2 linked regions of the Sus scrofa genome follow. The protein of the gene in region 1 interacts with the protein of each later gene in a pairwise test. Links are inferred from orthologs where the notes say so. Each region holds a gene or a part of one and is shown in the gene's direction. Other genes may lie near its edges.

Evidence for each region.
Region 2: the proteins of CCDC172 (region 1) and FAM13C interact in binary tests that used the Homo sapiens proteins (3 or more experiments, as listed by UniProt). The two-hybrid records come from large-scale screens. The link is inferred for Sus scrofa from reciprocal best matches to the Homo sapiens genes CCDC172 and FAM13C.

Annotation. Positions count from the first base shown.
Region 1 is NC_010456.5:126,597,597-126,601,421, forward strand, and holds part of CCDC172 (coiled-coil domain-containing protein 172), read left to right. Parts: intron 1-18; coding exon 19-120; intron 121-784; coding exon 785-887; intron 888-3,825.
Region 2 is NC_010456.5:62,642,686-62,646,510, reverse strand, and holds part of FAM13C (protein FAM13C), read left to right. Parts: intron 1-519; coding exon 520-730; intron 731-2,177; coding exon 2,178-2,316; intron 2,317-3,825.

The DNA of each region.
Region 1 (3,825 bases):
TTGTCTATTCATTTCTAGAAATGAAATCAGTGGAACATGATAGTGACCAATTAAATGAACTTCAAAAACAAAAGAGTGAATTAATACAAGAATTATTTACTTTGCAGAGAAAGCTCGAAGGTATTACCTTTATGATTTAGTTTATTTTTCTGATAAATATAAATATGTACCGATTACAGGTTGTATTATTGTTTTAAAATGTATTAACCTATTGGAATATAGTACTGTTATTGATGTAAAAAAGGAATAGGTGAAACACTGAATTGATCAGAGTTAGGTCTGGTATTTTTTTTGTATTTGTTTTTTTTAATTTTTTTTTTATTTTTTTGTCTTTTTGTTGTTGTTGCTATTTCTTGGGCCGCTCCCGCGGCATATGGAGGTTCCCAGGCTAGGGGTTGAATCGGAGCTGTAGCCACCGGCCTACGCCAGAGCCACAGCAACGCGGGATCCGAGCCGCGTCTGCAACCTACACCACAGCTCACGGCAACGCCGGATCGTTAACCCACTGAGCAAGGGCAGGGACCGAACCTGCAACCTCATGGTTCCTAGTCGGATTCGTTAACCACTGCGCCACGACGGGAACTCCCTGGTATTTTTAATGTCACAGATTTTGTTAAGATCTTTTTTGTGCCTTTAATTGCTGTATTAAAGTAGAAAAATAGAAATCATTGTTACACTTATTTTACATGAAGCACCACAAATCAGAGTATTATTCTTATTATTGAATAAAGATAACCTTATGTTTAATTTTTCAAAGATTGTAGTAATTTTCTTAATTGTTTAGATTTTGAAGATAAAAAAAATGAAGCTGTTCGTACTACCAAAAATTTAGAAGCAGAAAAAATAAAAATCACTGAAAAACCTCAGAATGATGCTGAATGCTTAAGGTAAGAATGCTTAGCATCTTTTGGTTAAAAAAAATTCATAAATTTTCAAGTTGTCAAGTAGATTTCAGCATAAAGTTAAATCCAGAGTTTTTATTTAAGTTCCAGGTGAAGACATTAATTTCCTTCTATGTGTATTCTGAAACATGGTAATATACAAACACTTCACAGACTAGAAAGTGCTACACATAAATGCATCAGGTTGATAACACTGAAATCAATTTTATCTTTTCATATATCTCATGGACTCTTGAATTTTCTCACATCCTAAAAGATTAAGACAAAGCTTTGTTTCCAAAAGTCTCTTTCTGTTATTCCTAACTTTTGGGGTGGAATGATTGAAATTATTTTTTATCCTTTTAAATTTCAGGGGCAAAATCACAGTCTACTACTTTATTTGAAATCTGTCACTCTGGTTTTGTGCCTAAAGAATGAAAATGAATTTTCTGTATGAAATATTTAGATGCTTTTTTGTATTTGATAATGAATGAATGGCCAAGGTGTCAAATGATAGTCATATACAGAAGGAGAACCCCCTGTTTTTTGATTTCACAGTTATTTATCAATAATTCAGTGTTATATTTGCTAGCTTAATTTTAAAGAACTTTCTATAATTTCTAGGCTTAATGTAAGAAACAGAAACCTCATTACCAAATCCATGAAGAGGCAAATGAAGCTTCCTTTCAATAAATCATATAGGAAATATGTCCACTAGAGCTGAACAAATGCTTCATATTAGCAGTGTATTGCCTTAGGCCATAAATTTGTAGATTGTGAGAAAATATTTGCAATTTAATTTTATGTTAAGTTTTATAAGCATGAAATATCAATCTCTTGGGTGATAGGTTTGATGCAGAATGAGTTTCTATAATGACAATCTGCTCGTTGATTTTTTTAGACTTTTAGAAATGGTAATGCCCACTGGTATCATTTTAGTTAGTAGTGTAAGGGCTGCCAATATGAACTCCAGTTTTGTGGGCTTATCACTGAGGCATAAAAATTTGCCCTGGGTTAAAATTAAATACACAAAGTCTGTTAGAGAGAGCTTTTCCTTCACAGATGGTGACAGAGGAAATTTGTACAGGAAGAAACATCAATCTATACACCTAGTCCATTCTTTGCATTTAGCAGTTATTAAAGAAAATGCCAACATTTATCAATTCCCATTTTCAGTTCTTTAATATGTGTAGCTTAGTTTCCTTTCTGGTATGTTCATAAAAGTTATTTCACATGTGAAGAGCAGAGTCAAAGCACTAAGTGTAAAGACTTTAGAGAAGCGCGCCATTAGTCATATAATTAGTGCAATGACAAGGAGCTAATGATAGTGAGAAATGATACGACATTATTCAGCAGCATTAAAACCAAAACTTATCCCTAAACTCTGGAATAGAATAATCTTTTTCATCTGTGTGTTCAAATGTATACCTAATTCTAAATAATTGCCTTTTACTTAAATTTTCATAGTTAACTACTGTTGGTATAGATGCTACTTCTATAGCAGGGTTTCTTAAACTTGGCACTGTTGGGATTTTGGCCAGTTTATTCTTTATTGTGGGAGGGTTGTCCTAGGAGTGTAAGATGTGCATTCCTGGCCTCTACCCGCTAGATGCCAGTAGCATCACCCACGCCCAGCTGTGACAACCAAAAATGTCTCCAGACATTGCTGAATGTCCCCTGAGCAGATGTGGGTGCGCAAAATTGTCCCTAGTTCAGAACCAGTTTTATTTTATGGTTATTATAATTATACTTCTACTTTTATTAAACTTTAACCACTAAGAAAGCAATTATAAAAAGTTAATATTACTTCATCTCTGTGTGGTTCTTCCTGTGTCCTTGACTTTTTGCCATTTCTTGGGCCGCTTCCGCAGCATATGGAGGTTCCCAGGCTAGGGATCGAATCCGAGCTATAGCCACCGGCCTATGCCAGAGCCACAGCAATGCGGGATCTGAGCCGCGTCTGCGACCTACACCACAGCTCACAGCAAGGCCAGATCCTTAACCCATTGAGCAAGACCAGGGATCGAACCCACAACCTCGTGGTTCTTAGTCGGATTCGTTAACCACTGAGCCACAATGGGAATTCTGTGAAATTCTTTTATAATGATTATATTTTTTAAAGTTAATCTTCCATGTATAGGTTTTTTGTTGGACTCTATTTCGATGCCATCCATTAATGCCAAGAACCAGTTCTTTATGCTCACAGTGATTTAATGGTCTCTGCTTTAGGGAATCTTTCCCTGTTTATAAATTACAAGATGTTTGTTCATTTAAAAGATTCTATTGTGAAAATTGTGGGATCATTAATTAATGCATGTTAAAAGACCTAACTTATAAAATATTGCTATGATTAACACCTACGCCAGAGGTTGGGTTAATATCAAAGAAGGCTTTCTGAGGGTTGTAAAACTGACTGAGCTAGTTTTTTCACATATTCCAGGGAGGAAAGTAACAATAAACCTCAGGGTATCAAGAAGGGGTAAGCATAGAGGTTTAAGATTACAAACCCCTTTAAATCTCAGTCTGCTATTTACTGGTTAGGGACCTTGTCTATGCCTCATTCTCTACATCTATAAAATGAGGTTAATGATGGCACCTACCTCACAAGATTATAGTAAAAATTAAATGACTTAATATATATATATATAAAGCCCTTTTAATAGTCCTTGGTACACAGTAAAATCTTTATAATTGTTAGACATAATTTAATTGTGTAATTACTTATGATTTCATTTTTATTTCATATTACTTGTGTGAATTTCATGCCTCTCAAGCTTCTTTCTTATTTTCTCTCTGCCCATCCTTTAAAGGCAGAGGCTCCCTAAAGGTCAGTCATTGATTGTACTCTTACTTTGTACGCTCCATGGTTTCTCAGATCTGGTCCAAAGTTTTCATTATTGTCTGTAGATAATTTCCAAATCTTTATCTGTAATCCCTCCTTCCT
Region 2 (3,825 bases), about 64 Mb from region 1:
CATGCCGAATAATTTTCTATCTGGGAACTCTCTCTTCCTCCTTTGTTTTCTCTTTTCTCTTCCTCTTCACCCCTTCCTTTCCCTTCACTAACAATTCTGTTATACCTTCTTTTCCTTATTATCTTTTGCTTCAGTTCAATTTAATTGTTTTCTTTCTGCCGCACTAACATCTTGTAATATACACTTTAGCTTATGGAAATAGTATGAAATAAAGAAAGTATTTTTGTAGTTGTGTCTATGCTGATGCTATAACTCATACCGAATTAATTTGTGTTTCCATTTTGTGTGTGTGTGTGTGTGTGTGTGTGTGTGTGTGTGTGTGTTGGCTTTATCATATTTTCTATCCAGGTTCTGTGAGAACAAACATGACAGTATTTTGAAAGGCTTTCATATCCCCAGAAGGAAGAAATGACAAAAAGGCAAGACATTGTAATGAATGTTTATGATCTTTTTTAGGAACATGACAGTCTCAAGCCCTCTGTCTCTGCTGAGTCTTGATGATTTATCTTGTTTCCTCAGATTCTGTGCCAGGCCACAAAGATGGGCAGAATGAAGTTGACAGTGCGCCTGAAGACCTCCAGTCTGTTGAGACTAGCAGGCTGCTCTACCACATCACGGATGGTGACAACCCACTGCTGTCACCGCGATGCGCCATCTTCAGCCAAAGCCAGAGATTCAATTTAGACCCTGAATCAGCCCCTTCTCCCCCCAGCACTCAGCAGTTTATGATGTAAGGAAACCTTGTTCTGTATTTATCTTTGTTTTGTGCCATTTTTCAAATACTACGTTTATAAGCCAGAGTGAAGGGTATATCCAAAATAGAGCAAATGTGCCTACCGAATGCACATGCAGCCCTGAACAATGAATGGAAAAAAAAAAGAAAAAAGAGTGTGTTTTCTAGTTGAGAATGCTGCTTCAAGCCTTTCTGTCTCAGGAGGAAATGGTCTCAAGATAACAGGCTCATGTATTTGAACATTTTTGGTGAAATGAGCAGAATCCTAGGAAAATGGATGTACATGCAACTATCAGGAATATCATTCTTGATGTGCTCACTAAGTAGTCTTAGTGACTACTCATTATTATTCTTGATGTGCTCATGTCTTTCCATGTCCAATGGTGGCCTTGATGGCTGGATCGTAGCAATGCTTGGAAGTTGTCTTGTCTCAGTTTCTTCTTAGATTCTAGAAAAGTGGTAGCTCTTATAGCTCCTACACACACACATATTGTGAAACTGTTTTCTTGTTTTTTAAGTTCCACAAGTAGTTCTTTCTTTTCTTTTCTTCACTTGTGGCAAGTAGAAGTTCCCAGGTCAGGGATCAAACCTGCAACACAGCAGCGACCCATGCCACAGCAGTGACAATGCTGGATCCTTAACCTGCTGCACTGCAAGGGAACTCCTTTTTAGAATTTTATTTATTTATTTATTTGACATGTAGTTTTGATGCATAGCTAAAATGAGTCTCCTTCAACTGGAAATATGTGCAAGGAATTTCTAGTTTCTCCTGAATACCTCCTGGTATTATTTGTGAATTTATGCAGTCCTGGGTCCATGGACTGTCTACTGATGGACCTGAGGGAGTGAGTGAGTTATAACTCCTGTAAAGTCTGTCCTCTGAGAAAGTGAACACATTTTTCTGGCAAGGGGGTCCATTCCTTTCAGCAGATTCACAAAGGCTCTGTTACAAGAAAAGTTAACTACTCATCTAAAACTTCCTTGAAAGTGTCTCCAAGCTTGAGGAAATGCATTTCCTAGGCTAATATTCTGACGTCTGTAGACTGAAAAGTCCCTGATAACATTTTCCTGTTCTCTGATCAGGAGCTTCCATTAATGAGTGGATGCTACTCATCAAATAGTGACCTGGCCTCTGGACCTCGCTGTTAATCCAGGAAGCTGGCTTTGTGGACCAGCAGCAGGGTTTACTGGAAGACCGTTTTTTTTGTTTGTTCTGTTTTTCATTTTTAAAAGTTTTATTGAAGGATAGTTGATTTATAAGATTGTAATCATTTCTGCTGTACAATCAAGTGATTCAGTCATACAGATACACAATTCCATTGTCTTTCAGATTCTTTTCCCACTTAGATGATCACAGAACTTTGGGTAGAGTTCTTTGTGCTATATAACAGCTCCTCAAGATCAACATTTTTGGTGATTCTTTCCCTCCCTATAATCATCACAGGCCCCGAAGTTCTTCACGGTGTGGCTGTGGTGAAGGCAAGGAACCACCGACCATTACTCAGCTCACCAAACATATCCAGAGCCTCAAGCGGAAAATTCGGAAATTTGAAGAAAAATTTGAACAAGAAAAGAAATACCGGGTAAGGACCCTGTGGTTTGAAATGAGTGGATTATGGCAGAGGTGTATGGGCTTTCTGTCCTTCCTTTTTGAGCACTTCTCTGTGCTAGGGGATGGCTAAGTTTCCATTGGCCAATGAAGGACCTATCATAACTTGAGTGTCCATCCTGAATCTGTCTTGTTCTCATGTGCTGTGAACTGATCTCTGCTAAGGTGCTTTCTAGTAACAAATTCTAACTCTTATTTCCAGGCTATGTGATTATTGATCCTTTCTTTCTTTCTTTCTTTCTTTTTTCTTCTCTGAGGAACCTATCACTAGTACTCCTAGGACTGAAATTTGGGAAGCTTTTGAATGAGCTCTTACTTTTTTTAACATTTGCATTTTGATAAGAGCCTATTAAGGACCCAAAAGGCAGAATCTCTTAATTGTGGAACAGAGCGAAGGAGAGAGAGTTTTCTTTGACAATAAAATACTTTTTGGTTGATTGATGAGGACATATCAAGGGATGTCTATTCACACCACTCATAAGAACAAACCCTGATCCACCCTTTCCAATCAGAGAAATACTGGGCTTCATGTTGGGGCTGTAGTGTTGCTTTTCTTTTCTTACATAAGAGACAATAGAGTCAGAGGCAAGTGTACTGATGGCAAATGCTAGTTTTATTGATTTTATTTAATGGTGACCATGGCATAGAGAAAAATTATATCCATGTAGAATTGCACAAAGATATTGGCTCTTTGGCAGAGGGCCCAGAACAGTTTGTTATGAGAATAAAAGAACAGGGAATAATGTCTCATAGATCTTGAAATAATTAAAGGCTCACTAAGCACTTGGTGCAGAGGCAATCTGCAGGTCCCTGTAGTGTGAATAGGTTCTAGGGAGGGAGGAGAGAGTGGGTAACATTCCACTCTCCTGTTCTTCCTGTTCTGTTTTTCCCACAGTGGCTTCAATTTCACTAAAAGAGGAATTTCAAGGAGTGGTTTTTCAGCTTTGCAAAAATGTAAAAAAAAATTAGATTGGCTTCCCAGACAACCTTAGGGCATTGAAGATCCTTCTCTTCCTTGAGGTCAATCACAGCTCCTTTCTGTCTTTAAAAGCAAGAGGGCATTCCGCATATTATGAGGATCGGCCTTTATAGTACAGATGAAGAAACAGAGGTCCACCAAAGATGTATAACTTTCTTAAGGTAGTTGTGTTGTGTCAGCTAAGGCTATGGGTTCATGTTAAAGATGGGTAGGTTTTGTGGATTTCCTTTTGTGGCTCAGCAGGTTAAGAACCCTACATAGTATTCTTGAGGATGCAGGTTCAATCCCTGGCCTTGATCAGTAGGTTAAGGATCCTGTGTTCCTGTGGCTGTGGCATAGACTGAAACTGCAGTTCTGATTTGACCCCTAGCCTGGGAACCTCCATATGATGCAGGTGCAGCCCTAAAAAGACAAAAAAAAAGTAGGTTCTGCAGTGGAGAAATAGAGGTAAAATTAATTAAGTGCCCACATTTTGAAAGCTGCAAATATCCTGAGGGAGGCTGA